Linked DNA regions of Drosophila melanogaster. The protein of the gene in region 3 purifies or fractionates together with the protein of the main gene of each other region. This does not show direct contact. Each region holds a gene or a part of one and is shown on either strand. Other genes may lie near its edges. The genes, in order: l(2)k09848, RpL24-like, RpL7-like and CG6937.

Evidence for each region.
Region 1: the proteins of RpL7-like (region 3) and l(2)k09848 purify together in Drosophila melanogaster (affinity purification with mass spectrometry, with the first as the bait; one large-scale study listed by BioGRID). This does not show direct contact.
Region 2: the proteins of RpL7-like (region 3) and RpL24-like purify together in Drosophila melanogaster (affinity purification with mass spectrometry, with the first as the bait; one large-scale study listed by BioGRID). This does not show direct contact.
Region 4: the proteins of RpL7-like (region 3) and CG6937 purify together in Drosophila melanogaster (affinity purification with mass spectrometry, with the first as the bait; one large-scale study listed by BioGRID). This does not show direct contact.

Annotation. Positions count from the first base shown.
Region 1 is NT_033778.4:6,073,705-6,078,389, forward strand, and holds l(2)k09848 (lethal (2) k09848), read right to left. Parts: upstream 2,664-4,685; 5' UTR 2,555-2,663; coding exon 2,467-2,554; intron 2,411-2,466; coding exon 1,360-2,410; intron 1,297-1,359; coding exon 1,176-1,296; 3' UTR 767-1,175; downstream 1-766. Other genes in the region: CG7849 (uncharacterized protein), read left to right, coding at 3,272-3,401, 3,457-3,669, 3,719-4,329.
Region 2 is NT_033777.3:11,429,975-11,433,698, forward strand, and holds RpL24-like (ribosomal protein L24-like), read right to left. Parts: upstream 1,609-3,724; 5' UTR 1,516-1,608; coding exon 1,435-1,515; intron 1,365-1,434; coding exon 870-1,364; 3' UTR 766-869; downstream 1-765. Other genes in the region: Dtd (D-aminoacyl-tRNA deacylase), read left to right, coding at 108-150, 206-296, 365-597, 653-762; CG5276 (uncharacterized protein), read left to right, coding at 2,005-2,966, 3,021-3,318; Exd2 (exonuclease 3'-5' domain-containing 2), read right to left, coding at 3,582-3,724. UniProt on the Drosophila melanogaster protein: Involved in the biogenesis of the 60S ribosomal subunit. Ensures the docking of NOG1 to pre-60S particles.
Region 3 is NT_033779.5:12,054,264-12,059,042, reverse strand, and holds RpL7-like (ribosomal protein L7-like), read right to left. Parts: upstream 2,696-4,779; 5' UTR 2,622-2,695; coding exon 2,611-2,621; intron 2,545-2,610; coding exon 1,896-2,544; intron 1,829-1,895; coding exon 1,715-1,828; 3' UTR 1,151-1,714; coding exon of another isoform or gene 830-1,150; 3' UTR 792-829; downstream 1-791. Other genes in the region: Rab3-GAP (Rab3 GTPase activating protein), read left to right, coding at 16-213, 277-453; CG34164 (uncharacterized protein), read right to left, coding at 830-1,150; JhI-21 (juvenile hormone Inducible-21), read left to right, coding at 3,747-3,958, 4,545-4,740.
Region 4 is NT_033777.3:22,582,731-22,587,031, reverse strand, and holds CG6937 (uncharacterized protein), read right to left. Parts: upstream 2,260-4,301; 5' UTR 2,170-2,259; coding exon 2,074-2,169; intron 2,007-2,073; coding exon 1,662-2,006; intron 1,599-1,661; coding exon 969-1,598; 3' UTR 884-968; downstream 1-883. Other genes in the region: btn (buttonless), read left to right, coding at 407-883; CG33107 (uncharacterized protein), read left to right, coding at 2,388-2,540, 2,597-2,782, 2,841-3,044, 3,103-3,333, 3,391-3,437, 3,509-3,563; Dph5 (diphthamide methyltransferase), read left to right, coding at 3,912-4,046, 4,117-4,301.

The DNA.
Region 1 (4,685 bases), on a different chromosome or scaffold from region 3:
TAGTTCAAATGAAATTTTAGGACTTGGCAGAGCTCAAAGCTCATGCTTTAATTTAGGTAAGGAATTATCACTCCAAATTCAAAAATATGCCATCTCGCGACTCCAACTTCGATTTAATGTCTCCGTTGCTGGGCAATTTTCTGGCTTTTCGGGTCGAGTAGCTGCAATGTTCATTTAAACATTAAATTTTAAATTGAACATCTGATGGAATTAAAATTTCAACTATGTTCCTAAACTCAAAATAATGAGCATTGTTGTTTAACATATTATGAATTCAGGAGCTCTGGCTTTATTTTCTTATACTTTTAAATTTTTAAAACAAAGCCGTTGTTTATCTAGAAACGAGTGGGAAATATTATTATTATAACGCATTTATAATAATCTATATTGCATTTTTCAGGAAAACATTTAATTCTAGTTTATGAGAAATATGAGTTTATAGGCAAACATATGTATATATGTCTTCAGATACTACACACATGATATTATGTGTATCTCATATTATGTGGCCAAAACGATTTTTACAGAAGCTTACTTAAGATGAATAATACCAAACTATTGATGGCTACAATATTAATTTTTCTCCGTTGCCGTACATCTATCTAGTGTAAATAAATATTTAAACATATGTAAGATACTCCTCTAGTAGGGATAAGATACTTATACTATAAGCCCATTAAAATGCCACTAAACCACGACTCCACATAACATAAATAAAAGAAAGGGTGAACCGCAAGAGTCGTCTCTTTAAATGAGGTTGCCTCCTACATTACTGTCCCCCAAAGCCAACATTTTTGAGAATTATGTTTTTAGAAATAGGAAATAAACAACACCTTATCTTAGACTGCAGAAGCTGCAATGTTTTTACAGACCCAACACTTCATTGAAAAAATGACAGGAAGGCCACGAATCCATTTTTATGCTGGGGGTAAAACACTATAATCGCAGTCGACGTTTGTTGCTTCCATCTTTACAATATAATTTATTTTAAGTACTTGCACGCACCTCATGTTCCCTTGCTCGACAGTCAGTTCAGAATGTAATATGCAACGAAACTTTTTTAAAACAGCTCTGTGTCTACCTACGATGCCATGTTTGTTAGTTCTTTAATATAAAAACCACCGAAATCTATACTATTTTTTCTTTAATATTCTTATACGTAAATACATGTCGCTTTAACTAATCACAACTTTTTTCTTTTTGTTTTTTAAAGACTTTTCCGACGATCTTCTTTTTAGATCGGCCTTTGAAAGCTTAATATTAGACATCTCTTCCTCGGACTCATTATCGCTGTCACTGTTGGCCAAAATATAAGATTTTAGCGTATTATTAAATCACTCAATATGTAGTTAAACTTACCCCACAGTGGGCATCTGATCAAACATATCCTCGTATTCATTGTCCACAGATGTTGCGTTGACGCTCTTATTTTCACTCACGTTTCTATCCATTTGAAGGTCAGCGACCTCCTCAGGTTCTTCTGTTACTCGTGCCTCGTTTTCAAACGGTCGGATAAGAATCTTAGTGGCCTTTGATTTCACGTAGCATTGGTAGAGCAGCACTGTGGTTTCGGAATCATGGATACGAACGTATCGGTCTAGGCTTGCAGAGCTCAGAAAGCGACCGGTGGCATCTAAATGAAGGTCACTTATCCCGCCTGTGAATCCCTTGTACGTATGCACATGAGTTTTCATGCGTCGAGTGTCAAAGGCTTTTAGAGCACCCATTGTGGTACCCGTGTAAATAAAGTTTCCCTTTGCCACTAAAGTCGTAAAACTCATCCCGTGCTCCTCGCTGGCAAAACATGCAACAGGTCGACGCTGCTTACGCGTGTCATAGATGCGAACATAGCCGGTTCGCGAGCAAGTGGCCAGTACACTAGGCCCATCCACAAAGCCGATATCGCTGTCCCAAACCGGAACCTCTAGCTGCAGATAGTCGTTGGGCAAATTCTTCGAGGTGAAAATCTGCTTACCGTCGGCATTTAAATCGTAGACCTTTAGATTGTTTTGACGCTCTTTGCCGCCAGTTGCTACAATGCTTTTGACTTGGGCGCACTGGCGCAGGTGGTCCATTTGGTCACCCGTGGCGATAACCACGGGCTCGGACTCGTCGTTCGCCTCTAGCTCCAGGCTCTGTATCTCTCCGTTGCCAATGCCGGCAATAAGCTTGTCATTGTATCGGGCCAGACCAACAATTGGCGCAGCATTGAAGGATACTGTGTTCCTAGAATGTCCCTTTTCTGTGAAGGAGTGAATCTCCACGGCGTCCTTGGCCCGGCCTAGAAGGATCTCCGTCTGATCGTCGTTGCCAAAGGCCAGAGATGTGACGCGGGAATCCTTATCCAGGGCGCACAGATCACTCAGGTTGCTTTGTCCATAAGGGGTCTTCTCGGATGCAGGCACCAGGTCTAAAAAGTTGAAGTCATTATTATTATGCTGTTCGATAAAGAACAAGCGGACGTACGTTTAAAGGAGCCCGTGTGTGTTCCCACATACAGTTCGTGCTTCGCCGTGTAGTTTACATGTTTGGTATTTGCAGTAGTCCACTTCATCTCAAGACGCGGTTTCTCTCAATACTTGCGATTAAAACGTGAATTAATGGTATGCGGCTATACAAATTCGTGCGGTCAAAACAAATCCTACACGTGCAATAGAGATGTAAAAGACATATGCTTAATAATCGATGTTATCGTTTATATCGATATCTAACGGCCACCGATATTTTAATAACATTTAGGGTAGTCACTAGGCTTCAGTTTGCTGTTTACCAGTTTAAAACATTTTTTTCGTTGAAAACCACTTCTCTTGTGAGAATATAGTGATACGCATAAGACTTTATTTGATTATAACTTCTTTAAGTGCAGTTTTGTTGTCATTTTAAATGCAAGCAAATAGTATGCAAGCCACAGTGAGAATATTCCCGTGAAATTTGTAAAATTTATAGAAAATTTTAGCCCAATCGGATTTGTTTCTTGTTTTTTCGTGCGGTGGACTTAATTCTTGTTTTGCAGTGATACAAGCATGTTTTTTTGCGGGTATAAAGACCACAACGTTTTGAGAATTATTTCCAACTAAACTTTTTTTTAGAAAATTAAAGAGATATTTGAAAACAACATTTTATATGTAAATTTTATAAATTAAGTTTCAAGTGCATGTCTATACCCTATTCAGTACTGGGCAGCACATGTGCTCAGCTGTTCGTGTGTGTTCACCAACACTGTCATGTGAATTTAAAAACAAATAGCGCACATACGTAACTTAAAGCAGAAATGGCTCTCACCAAAGTTTATGATGCCGCCACAGTGTTTAAGCACATGAATGGCATTCTAAATGTGTACAAGCCATCCGGTATGAAGGTGAAACACGTGCGCAATGCTATTCTGAGCAACATTTGCAAGGGTAAGCCTAGCGCCATTTAAAGAACAAATTGAAATTAAAAACAGATCTGCAAAAGGACTCAACGAAATGGAGCAGAGGAAACCACGCAAGTTGCAAGAGAACATTAGCCTCCTGGGCACAGGCACTGCAGCAGATCACGTACTACATAACATAGGAGAGCAGACGGATCTATCCGACCACCTTCTGTCCACCGGACCGCGGTACCTTCCGCGAGACTTGATCTGCACCACAGTGTCCAGCCTGGGCGATCACACCAGCGGAGTCCTGCGTAAGTCATGTAAAACATTTTAAATCCAGATCTAACCATACTTTTGTAGTCTTTGGGATCAACAGGGGAGCAGGCCAGTCTAGTTCTATTCGGAAAAATCGACCAGTGCGGGTCTACCATCTAATCGGGCACCTAGGCATCGCAACCGAAAATAACCTACCAGACTCACGGGTCATAATGCGCTCCAATCACCGACACGTGTCCGCAGACAGGATCAGCAGTCTAGCCGCCTCCATGCAGGCATCCCATCAGCGTAAGATGTTTGAGCTCTGCGGTGTCGATTTGCAGACCCAGGAGGCCTATGAACTGGCCTGTAGGGGTCTCCTACGCCCAGCGGACGACAGTCAGCCCGTCGTCTACGGCATTAAGCTGATTCACTTCGATCGACCGCACTTCACCCTGGAACTGCACGCCATCAACGAGACGCAGGAGTACTTAGCTACGCTAGTGCACGATATGGCTTTGGACCTCCGAACCGTGGCGCACTGCTCCCAACTACGCTGCGTGCGGCATGCCCATTTTGATGTGACAGATAGTCTGCTCAGACACGCCTGGCACTTGCCAGGAATTATCAAGAACCTCCGTCAACAACGTGACATCCTGAGGGCGCATCCACAGCTTCTGCGACAACAGCGAGTGGAACTGCGAGCTACAGATTAATTTAGGAATTCATTGTAATTGAATATAGTCAAATAAATATAGGCAGATAAACTATAAAGCAGTCAATCAGGTCAATAATTCTGGTAATAATTTTTGATAAGAATATGCAGAATATCTGCTTATTTAAGTCAGCATAGTTTATTGACGGTTACAGTTCAAAATAGGTCATTTATAAAAAAAAAACGTAAGACTCTAGTTTAGTAAAAGTAAGATGTTTAAAACGTGATCTTATTAGAAGCGGTAGCCAAAAACCATACATTTCACAAATTTTTTTTGAATTAATTCTAAAAACAAGGGAGATTGCTATAGTTGATAACCTCGACCCATCGAAGGGTCAGTTGTTCCAAATTATGTAA
Region 2 (3,724 bases), on a different chromosome or scaffold from region 3:
GCGCGATATTTTTGAATTCTTGGGGCGACGGTCAACACTGCTCGTGTCAAGTTTACCAGCACTGACAAAGATCTAAATAAGTGGTAAATAAATAGAATAATTAAGAAATGCGTGCGGTTATACAAAGGGTTAAGGCTGCCAAAGTGACGGGTATGCAGGATCAAATAGTTACCATCTATCATATAATTTTATACTGCTCCCCTAGTGTTGGATGAGCTGGTGTCCTCCATTGGACCAGGCCTGTGCGTGCTGGTGGGAATCAAGGCCAGCGACACCGCCAAGGATGTTGAGTATCTGTAGGTAAATTCCACTCTGGTGATAACCACCTTAGGTTTAGACCACCTAACACAGCTTACCATTCAAGTGTCCGGAAAATCTTGGCTCTCCGTTTATTCGAGGAGGAGGGCAAGCGTTGGCAAAAGTCCGTGAAGGATCTGAACCTAGAACTGCTGTGCGTCTCGCAGTTTACACTGTATCACCGCCTTAAGGGCAACAAACCGGATTTTTTGGCTGCCATGAAGGGCGAGGAGGCGCAGGAGTTGTACAATCAATTTTTGGATCGCCTAGGTCAATCCTACGATAGCACCAAGATTAAAGGTGAGTGATAGGAACACTCCAGCTGGTCATGTTTTAATCTCACTTACTATAATAGATGGCAAATTTGGAGCATACATGCAAGTGCACATAGAAAACGATGGACCCGTAACCATTAATTTGGAGTCCCCCGAACAAAAGGATACTGACAGAGAAGTGGACAAATGATTTGAAAATATATAACAACCAAAGACAACATTTATGTACCACGGGGTTTTTATATAATGTATTTTTTAGCAGCAACTTAAACTAAGAAAAAATCAGCGTACTCGTCCTTAGGCTTCTAACATCTCGAGATCCTCGACCCCCATTCCCTCCTCCAGTTTCTTCTCGAGTTCGCGTGCATCCACGTAGGTGATCTTCTCCTCGGGCAGATCCTCCTCCATGAGGGCGGCCTCCTCTGCCGCCTCCTGGGCACGTCGTTGCTTCAGCCCTGCGGCTGGGGAGCGAATCAGGGACATGTTGCGCTGCACATCCTTGACGTCCATCTGAATCTCGACCTGGCGACCCTTGCGCAGTCGCTCCATGACAAAGTGGCTGGTGCGTTTCTCCTTAATCTCCGTCACCCGCTTGATGGCCTCCAGACCCTTCTGCCAGGTCTCGCGGCTGTATTTCATGGGCACGTTGCGGCGCTTCTCGAACTCGAAACTGGGATCGATGGCCAGCTCCTTGCCGGCGGCCTTGCGGTACGCCTTCGTCCATCCTACCTTGCGGGGATTCTTCTTGCGCTTAAAGGCCTTGTGACACTTGCCTCGGCAGAACTTGAAGACCTGCGACGGAATATGGCGAAGCAATATAAACATCGGAGCACATGTAAACAGGAAAGCAAATCGTTCTTACCTTGCAGTCATTTCGCACGAATTGCACCCCGTGGCCCGGGTATATTTTGCTAGAGCAAAAATAGCACGTTTGAATGCGCATTTTCGCAATTTACGACGGATAAATTACGAAAACAAAACAAATGCGCAAGCTGCTAGCACGTGTGCTGCTGAAGAAGAAGAAATATGAAAATGTATCGGCAGTCAGCAGTGCGACCAGTCACTGCTTATCGATAACACTGGCTAACATGGAAAATAGCTAGATGTAGACAAAAAATATCCAAGCAAGAAATACGTATAAATTGCAAGTGACTGCGATACCAGTTGACAGTTGTATTGTTTTGATAATTTCAATTACCTTCGGTCTTTGTCCAAATCATGTTTTTCCCAGTATGTTTACATTAACTTAAACTGAATTGTTGCACCTGTTTCTCGATAACATCGCATGCGCTCGCCAGTTTGCACCAGCTGTTGCGCCAGCTGATCGCCCGCTCATGCGCTGGTCACACCGCCAGCATCCAAACAAACAGAGCAGCAGACCAAGAAAATCGGACACATCACCGCGAACGAGATCTTGCTGACGTGCGACCAGATGCAGAGCCCTGCCTTCGCGTACCGGGAACACGCAGAACACTCGCCGCGCGCCATGTACATGCGCGACTGGCGATCGGCCCTGCGGACGCCCACGTACCGGATTGGGAATCGGACGGTGCGCTTTAACTATCACTTCGCCCTTCTGATTGTTTGCGCCTTCGTACTCGTCCTACTCTTCTACTTTGCGCGCCAGGGATCGCACTCCTCCTCCGACGGCTACTGGCTGCGCCGCAGTTACACGGATGCCCGGAGTCTGGACAATGGTGGTCCAGTGGTCCAGGCCTACAATGCCACATATCCGCTCACGTCACCCATGGTGCTGCGTGGCGGTGTGATAAACTACCGGATAGCCATGATTGCCGATCTGGACACCAGTTCCAAGGTGAGCAAGGGCGATGGGAGCAGCACGTGGCGTAGCTACCTGAAGAAGGGCTACCTTACCTACACGGTGGCCAGGTCAGAGATCCAGATTAGCTGGGATGACGGGGCGCCGATAGTCCTGGAATCAGCATTTGCCCTTAAGGGCCGCGGAATGGAGCTATCTGAGCTAGTCACCTTCAACGGGCGCCTGCTCACCTTCGACGACCGAACGGGTTTGATATACGAGATTGTGAATGACAAGCCCATTCCCTGGGTGATCCTGCTCGATGGAGACGGACACAGTGCCAAGGGCTTCAAGGCCGAATGGGCCACAGTGAAAGAGCAAACGCTGTATGTGGGCTCCATGGGCAAGGAGTGGACGACAAGTGCGGGTGATTTCGAGAACAATAACCCCATGTACGTAAAGGCCATCACTCCGTCCGGCGAGGTGAGGTCGCTCAACTGGGTGGACAATTTCAAGCAGTTGCGCCTGCAGTCGATGCAAATAACCTGGCCGGGCTACATGATCCACGAGAGTGGAACCTGGTCAGAGGAAAGGAATCGCTGGTTTTTCCTGCCTAGGCGGTGTTCGAAAGAGAAGTGAGTAAGCGTGTCAGCCTTTAAATCCTTAACTCATCGATCTATCTTTGAAAGATACAACGAAACCAAGGACGAGCACATGGGCTGCAATGTCCTGGTCTCCGCCGACGAAAGCTTCACCAACGTTGAGACTGTACGGCTCGATCCTGAAAATACAACGCCCACGCATGGTTTCTCTAGCTTTAAGTTCTTGCCCGGCACCGATGACTCAATAATCGTGGCTCTTAAGTCGGAGGAGTTGAATGGCAAGACGGCCACCTTCATCACAGCCTTCGATATTGCGGGCAAGACACTGCTGCCCGAAACGAGGATCGAGACGGACTACAAGTATGAGGGATTCGAGTTCATTTAGCTCGCCATTCCAAGCTACCGCACTCCACTCTACTTCGATCCAGGTGCTTCAGTTTTAAACGTGTACATATTGTATTATTGTCCCATACGGTAAGCTTTATATTTATAGTCACCTAGATTAGTCCAGAGATGCTCATCTGCCTCATGAACCGTGACTCCTTGTCCCGTCTTGTACCATAGCACAAAAAAAAATTTTAGTTTATTTTTATTAAAATTGAAATATAAAACGTACAAAGCCGGTGGCAAACTCAGAAAAGCCCTGCATCACGTTTCTTTAATCTTCGCATCCAATCCGGCCACCATAAGATCGGCTTTATCGATGCGACCCTCGCTGGCGCGAACTTCCAGTCGATCGGCATTGTGGTTGACATTCCAGAGTTCGGGCAAAAAGCGGGGCTGCATTGTGT
Region 3 (4,779 bases):
TTTTCCCTCCTCCAGGTGGTGGAACTGTACGCTTTTGGGTATGATGCGGAGGCTCAAGTGTTGCTCCAGGACATCAGCGATGACGAGGAGCTGGGCCGACTGCTGCTGGAGATCGCTGGCCGTAGACTTAATCTTTACGCACAGAGCTCGCAGTCCACGTTCCTGAAGATTGCCTCTGTTGGCCACCAGTTGCTGGCCTACCTAGACAACCTGGTAAGTGCTGCAAGCGCATATATCATTCGCAGTACTGATCCATTTCTCACGCCGCTTACGCAGAAGGAACCGATGACGGAGAACAACATTCAGATCGCGGCCACCAAGCCCGACGAGATCGATGTGGCTGCCCTGGACAGGCTGTTGTCGCATGCCTACAAATACCTTTGCCGGCGCGAGTCCAAGCAGCTGCCCATCATTGGCCAGATGTACAACGCCGTGCGTATCCTGCAGAATTAGGAGTGAGGATGACACATAAACACTTGGTTATTTTACATTTCTCTCATGATTTTTATGGATTCAAGAATGAACCCAATATTGATTGTTAAAGCACCACATGCGGTCCCATTAATTGTCTTATACTTATCAACCTAGTAGCGATTTAAACAACCTACGAAAAGCATCATATTAATTACTTTCAAGAAAAAGGATACTAAGATCTGCACCGATAGGAGGATGTATTCAACACGAATTTGATGTGAAGCTTATGCCTACAAGGATTATGAACATGTATATTTAATAAAATAAAAAAAAAAATTTTAATATTCTTTTACTAAATTTAAGGGATACCAAAAGATAAAATAACAATACTTTCTTTATTGATGCCCAACGTAATTTAATTTATATTTGAGCAGGGATCCAAGCGGGTCTTTGAACTTCGTGCCTTGGGCGCTGCCTCCAAGTTCTCCGCCTGTATTCGTCCGATTGCCTCCGGCGTGGGCAATCTCTCCGGCATCATGGTGGCGTGCACTTTGAGATGAGTGTAGACGGCAATGTAGCTCTGGCTGGTGTCCAGTTCGATGGGTGGACTCTGCTCTATGCGGCCAGGCAGGGCAAAGTGCTTGCCAAGAATGGGTTCCTTGAGAGATCGGGCCAGAATTTTTTGCAGTCCATCGCGGTCGGTGTCCAACTGCTCGCTGTTGAAACTTGAATTCATTGAGAATTAATTGAATCTAAGGATTTTGAATTCCAATGTGTAGTCCCTGGAGTTTTATCCGAACAAAAGATACGACGACCCGAGTTGCACTAGGTTAGTGGCACTGACTCCGACTAATCGAAAAACAACAGTTCCTCCTTCATGGCAACAAGTAGTTCAGTTTGGCATACCTTTCGTTTGCGAGGAGCCACCTCGGTTATGACTTATTTATTATTCGAGGCAGAAAGTTGATTCTCTGGTTTGTTCAATTTGGGAACTCGGCTGGGACACGCAAGGCCAAGAAGCAAAGAACTTGTTTCGTGGGTGAAGTTTATCATGTTGATAAACATGTAGAATAATGAGGAATGTCGTTAGAGACAGTTTCATGTGGTTCCTTAATAGTCGCAGGATTGCTTTTATAGGCATACAGTAAACTCACGATAGTGCTGACCTGACCATCTATTTTCTTCGTTAAATAAGTACGCTCAAATAGAATACGTTTGTATATAGATGTGTATTGGGCTTAGCTACAGAATGGGTTATAGAGGTTGAACAATCACTTAAGGGTTTACTAGGCTAGGGTCTCTACAGGCAGCGGGCAATCAGTTCGTTGATGGCAGTGCCACGATCGCCGTACTCGCCACCGCGTTTGTACGAGACGGATACCTTCTTTTGCCAACCATTGCTGGGACTGGACAACTGGAAAAAACCAAATGGCGGTAATAGTATAGTTTTAAGAATTGCAAAAGAGAAGTTGTTAACCAACCGTGAAGGCGCACAGAAACTCATTTACAGCGGCGAAGTTTGGACCCACTGTGCAAATTTCGTGGATTATATCCTCCAGACAGATGACACCCTTGTCGCCCAGCTGTTGCTCCACCATGGTGTTCGACTGGATGGCCGTCTTCTTGCCGTCGATGCGGGCGAAGCCCTTCTTGAAGACCAGCTCGCGAATGGAGCTCAGCGAGGGATTGCCGTAGACTACAAAGGGTTCGATAACGCGCAGCAGCAACTGGTTCTCCTTGGTGTTCTCCATGAAGACGGCGTTGTGGCGCGAGCCCATGCGCAGGGTTCGGAATATATCCGCGGTGGTCTTGTCGAAGATCTTCTTGCCCGCATGGCGCATCACGAAGAGCAGTTTGGGATTGGAATCGTCGGCAGCTTTGGCACTTTGTTCGGTGACATTGGTGCGCAGAATGGTTTGCTTGATCCGCTTGGACGTGCGCTCTGCTTTCAGGTAGCCCATTACGAAGGATTCGGCACGGCGGAATTTGTGGTGATTCTTGGTGGCGGTTCTCTTTTTGATGCGGTCATTTCTTTTCTGCGTAACAACAGATTCATCCTGCAGAATTCTCCTCTTGCGATGCTTTAGCACCGACACTGTTTTGCCGGGCAATTTGTTGGGCACCGCATATCTAGGGATCAAAAGTATAAGATAATGTTTAGGGTCAACACATTTTTATAGTTTTTCAATCACTCACTTGTCTGACATTGCTGGTATTTGGCTTTTTAATCGAAGTAAATTAAAACACGTGCAAGCACCAAAACAATAACTAAAAAGGATAGAGGTGGGCGCGGAGCGATAAGTGCTTTGCTATCGATAAGTGATGTGTGCAACAGCTGAGCGCGTTTCGTGGTGAATAGCTAACAAATTTGAAATTTTTGGCGGGAACATTTAAGAAATTGTATTATTCAACTGAAAACTATGCTTAATAGTTATGCCATAAGATAAATTTAGCATTAGCTAGCATTCAAGAGGACAGCTTTAATGTTTTCTTCTTGTAAGTAACCATTTGACATTAATTTCCGGTTTTGAGCACTCATTTCTCATTTTTTTTCTTTACACTCATTCTCTCTCTCTCTCTGTTTCTCTCTCCGTTTGCTGCTCTCACTCTCTCACTGCGTTTTAGGGTGAAAATTGCGTTAATTTTAGTATGAAAATGCCGGTCTCGATGCCAACGCACAGTCGCTGTTCGCAGTCAAAGCCGTTTTGTTGTGTCCGCGCTCTCGAGGTAAAATAAATCGTGTTTTACGTGCAAAGTCGCTGGGAACAAGATAAACCGAAATTAATCAGCCAAACTGCATTCCAAACCTTGCGAATAACCAACAAAAAAAAAAAGAAGCGAATAAAAGCAATCGAGCAATTGCCAGAAAAACTGCAACTCTGCAACTGCAAAATTCATTGCCACGCGTCGTAAGGTGATGACGAAATCGTGGAAATTGGCACGCGGCAAAGGCGTCACCATAAAAGTGGAGCTCCCCATTAGGCAGCTACACACCACAACATGCCAACCCCAAAAATCACCCTACTTTAAAGCTAAATTTCGTGTATCGAAGATAGTGGCGTCGGGGAAACATTCAAGTTTATGCCTGACAATGGGAGATTAGTTAGCTGCCAGCGAGGCAAAAATCGGGTCTTCTTCACTAGCAATTAGTAACTAAAATCAGCACTATAGCATTTGTTTACAATTTGCGCAACACGTGCTCGCGCCCCATTTGCTGATAGTAATGAAGGCTTTTTTTTCTACATTTCAACTTTTACCCTTCATTCCAGTGACAATGTGCGCTATTCGCCATTAGAAGAGGGTAAGCAGAAGAATCCCACAGTGCAGACATCATGACGGACCGATATGCCAATGGAGTGACCACCAGCCTGGTCGAGCCCACAAATGGATGCGCCGCGCCGGGTAATCCAAATCCCGCTGATGGCGAGGAGAAGATTGTCCTCAAGCGGAAGCTAACACTCATCAATGGAGTGGCCATCATAGTGGGCACCATCATTGGATCGGGCATCTTCATTGCTCCCACGGGAGTCTTTATTTACACCGAGTGAGTGGTGATACAGAGCATCCTCCTTAATTCAATTTATGCACAAAAAAGGTCAATTTAGCTGTTAATTAATGGATAGATTGTCGCAGGCATTCCTTTAGCACCAATTAAGATACATTTATTAGTTCTCGATTTTCCCTCAAAGATTCAACCTTGAAATTCTGCCCACATATTGCGTCAGCTTTTTAAAGTGTTTTTTTTTTTTAAGCGAATTGTCTCCAGTCACAAGAATAACGTCAATAAGGCGCGCCAAACATTTAAATTATTGATAAGAGCCACAAAAAAAGGTGTGCGTCATAAGCTTAAGGCGGCTGCGAAAAATTCCAGGAAGTTAAATTCATAAAAGTATTTTATCGAAATGAAAGCTAATCCCCAGCACTTGTTTTTTTTAGATGTTTTGTTTAAATACCATTTTACTATTATTGCTTACAAATATTTGCCACCGAGTTAATATTAGATCTATATTTATAATTTTTATTGCTTTATATATATATATATGTATGTATTCCCTGACCATATTTGTTTACGAGTGTTTATTTTCATTCAAATTGTTTATTGATTCGATGACTACTTTAAATCATTTCAGATCCGTGGGAAGCTCCCTTTTGATTTGGCTGACTTGCGGCATTTTATCGACGATCGGAGCTCTGTGCTACGCGGAACTGGGCACATGCATCACAAGATCTGGCGGGGATTACGCCTACCTGCTGGTGTCCTTTGGACCGCTGGTGGGATTCCTTCGCCTCTGGATCGCACTGCTCATCATCCGGCCAACCACGCAGGTCAGTTCCTATAGTACTCATCAATTGAATTACGGAATG
Region 4 (4,301 bases), on a different chromosome or scaffold from region 3:
AAAGCGCGTGCAATTGCGACTTTCAGATAAATCTCCGACTGGGTCTTACGACTCGCCGACGGTTGTCTATTAAAATTTTATAGCTCCGCAGTTGGTGGCACAAAGCACTTGACTCATGCGTCCACTTCCGTTTCTGACCGGACGCCTGGGGAAGGGGCTGGGAATCGGATTCGGGTTTGTTGTGACAACAGTTCGTAGGCAAAGACAACAAGCCGATCTGCGGGTGTCATAACCACTCATACCCGAGGTCCAGATGTTGCGCACAATTATCATATCAGCAGCACATCATTTGCGACTAAGTGAAAAAGCAGATTGGCCTGGCACACTCTGCGCCTTGTTTAAAAAGCAGCTCCGCCGAATCTGAGATTTCAGTAATAGTTTAGACCTAGAAGCAAAGACATCGGCAATGAAGAACTCCCACGCGAACGTCTACCAAGAATCCTATTGCTACGAGGATATTACGAAATCGTGGCTGAACCAAACGGAGGGCTATACGGACTGCAGCTATGTATATGACCACAGTGCGTCTTCTTCCTACGCGGATTACAATAAACTAGAAACTAATTGGTGCAACGAAGCGAACGATCAATGGTTACAAAATGAGGCACCTACTGGTCAAGAACTTCCAAGCCAAAGGTCCAAACTCCGGGCAATCAGCTCGAATCGCAAGGAACGCACAGCATTTTCAAAAACGCAGCTCAAGCAGCTGGAAGCGGAGTTCTGCTATTCCAACTATTTGACTCGCTTGCGTCGCTACGAAATCGCAGTGGCGCTGGAGCTGACCGAACGCCAGGTGAAGGTGTGGTTCCAAAATCGACGCATGAAGTGCAAGCGCATCAAACTGGAGGAGCAGCAAGGCAGCTCGGCCAAAACGCCATTTTAGTTTGTACAAGGACATATTTTAACACAATTCATCTTACAAAATGTTTTCGCTTACTTAACAACTATAGTAAATGTATTTTAAGCTACTACTTGGATTTCTTGGCCTTTCCCTTGGGCAAGGGTTTGGCCAGCGACTTGGCTGCGGCCAGCTGCAACTTCTGGGTGGCGGCATTCTTGTTGCTCTTAGCCGGCGGAGCTATTTTCTTCTTCTGCACACCACCAGTGCCGGGCTTGCGTTTCAGTTTATCAGCCAGCTTAGTCTTTTTCTGCTTGGGCGGCGGTGATAAATCCTCCTCTTCGTCGCTGTCATCGCTGGTCTGCTCACTGTCCGCTTGCTCCTCCTCAGCCTCCAGATCGGACTCATCATCGGATGCATCAACGTAGTCCTCATCATCGGAGTCCTCGTTGATGGTGTTGCCCAGCAAATCCTCCAGCGTTGGTTCTTTCTTCGCGGCCGTTTTTTGTTTCTTACCGGCTTTCTTGGCGGCTGCCTGGCTTGTAGATGCCTCAGCGGAGCCTGCTGCTTTCTTTACTGGTTCCACCAGTAAGTTGGAGAAGTCGATGCCCAGATCCTTGTACTTCTCCTGCAGCTTCTTGATCTTGTTGAGATTGGCCACGGTGCGCTTCTGGCAGGCGGACTCATCCCAGTTATTCTGCTTTTTCACGCTGCGCTGTGTGGCTTTGGTTAAATCCGAGACATAGATTTCCTTGCCGGCCTGCAAGTGAAGTACAACTATGAATAACAAACGGACATTAGATGTATTTCCCTTTGAACGCACCTTATTGACAACCTTCTTCAAGGAAGTCCTGAAGAAGTTGAGTGTCTGCTTCTCTGGTGGAATGTAGGTGGCCTTCACCACCTTCTGGAACATCAGGTAGTTGTCCATGGTGTCGGCAGCCACCTTGGCCACCTCCGGGTACTCGAACTCCACGAAGGCGTAGCCCTTGCTGTTACCGGTGCGCAGCGAACGGGCCAAACGGACGCGCAGCACCCGACCGAACTGTCGGAAGTACTGGCGCAGCTGCTGCTCGAAGAATCCGTGAGGCAGGTGCTTCACAATGACCACGCCGCGTTCTGGACCCTTTGGCTTCTGCGGCCTGGCCTTGGTCACCTTTTTCTTTAGCTAAAATGGACGCAGTTTACGGTTATCCAACCCAACGGAGGAGCATTTGTTTTTGGTAGCCGCTCACCTGTCCGGAAACCACATTCTTGGCTGCATCGATGGGCTTTTTGGGCGTGCTTTGCTTCTCGATCTTCTGCGCCTTGGGCTTCTTAACAGGCGGCATTTTAATTAGTGTCAATTCACTAAAATTGATTATTAAAGTAGTAAATGAATAAAAATCGCCGCACGTGGAGCAACAATAATGGTATGACCGTTTACGTTCATGCGATACAGCGCTTAACTAGGCGTTAGGCTATTTGACCCACCCCTTGGTGCCTGGTCACTCTTTCAGTTTATTATTTCTATTTATTTGCTTTGCGCATTTTTTACCGCCAATACAAAATGAATCTATCTGATTCATCGTTGAATAATTCCCTCGTGGAAGTGGATGAAATGCGCCTAGGCTATGACCACGAATCCATCATGTCCTTTCTCCGGAAGTCGTCCATCAAGCATTTGTTTCCTTACGCTGCAGAAACCACAGACGGCAAACAGGTTATTATTCTGTTTATTTCCTAATAACTATTACTAATTTGTTTATATTAACTTAGTTGCTGAATCGCATGATGGCTACCTTAGCCGGGAAGCTGGAACTCAATTTGCAGCAGCTGCTCGATCTGTTTACCCTCTCCATTATGATGATGACGTACCAAAGGGACAACGTTCTGCTGATGAAGGAGCGCTACATGATGGTGGATGTGGTGTGTCACCTGGCAGAGTCCCTGGACTCGGAGGAGGTAGTTCCCCTTTCTGCTATCCTAACATTTCCGATCAATTACATCTTATTCCCTTTAGATGTTCTACATGGCCAGTGGGTTGTACGAAAACCTTATCACTGGCGTGGGTATGGAGCGCCTGGAAAGAGTGCTGGACCTGCAGGCCGCGATTCCCGCCATGGTAGAATCCTGCCATCTTGGCAACGATGTAGCTATGGCCCTGCTACTCACCATAATGGGACGGTACACGGGAGAACCAGTTGAACTGGACCAGAAGGAATATGTATGAACCTAAAACTGATTCCATCAGCACTTTAAAATCTAAACCCATATATATGCAGGCTCTCAAGGCTTTTGAAATGGCCAAAACGGTCAACTGGCGCCAGTTGGCAAACAGTGGACGCCAGGCAGATTTGTTTATGCTCATCCGCACTTTCAGCATGATCATCAATTGCAGACGTATACGCGAGGAGTGTCCTGATTGGAAGGACAATCTGGGTGCCGAGATACACAAGTACTTCCTGCAGGTGCGCATGGATCACTCCGCCGCCTATGGCGACTTTGAAATGATGGTGAGTGCCTATGCATTTATAATAAGGGAATCGGTAAAGATAAAGATTGCTTTGCAGATTGAACGATTCATAGCTTATTGCGTGGTTCGGGGCGCCTCAACAACGTAAGTTGAAATGGCGTAATATTGTTGTAAGTACGTAAGTACGTTAATTAAATGATATTTTTCATCCACAGACCCCAACTTTGCAGCTTCAAGATTTCCGAGCAAACAAATTCAGAGTTCCAATAATTGCTGGAGTGTAGTTATGTTAAGTAGTTTACTTATTATTACAGTCTAAGAGTAACATAGGTATCATACAGCTGAGATCAAAAAAGCAAACCAAATATATCATTTCTTAAGTAGTGGACCAAAGTTTTTAGTGTTTATTTCCCAATTAAATGAAATGGCCTTCAAATTCAAAATACGCGCCATTGCTGCACAGGCTTTTTTAGCCCATTGTCGCAATGTGAGTATTTCTTGGCGCTCTGGCGGCGGTCACACAACGCGCGACGGCACGTGTTGACTGCATTTAAAAAGCGATTTTAATAACATTTGGCAGGAGTTGCAGTGGCCGAGCAGTCGCACCAGTCGCCCAGCATGTTCTACCTAATCGGCCTCGGCCTTGGCGACCTGAAGGACATCACGGTCAAGGGTCTGGAGATAGTGAAGCAATGCAGTCGCGTCTATCTGGAGATGTACACCTCGATTCTGGGCTGCAGCCTTGAGGATATGGTAGGTATCTGGAATGGCCTTCGTTCTGGGAGCACCCCCAATGCTAATTGCATCTCCACTTTGTTCGCAGCAAGAGTTCTATGGACGACCACTGCTGCTAGCCGACCGCGATCTGGTGGAGCAGGGTGCGGATGAGATCCTGGCGGGTGCGGGCGAATCCGATGTTGCGCTGCTCGTGGTGGGCGACCCCTTTGGCGCCACCACCCACACAGACTTCATACTGCGCGCCAAGGAGAAGAACATCCCCTACAAGGT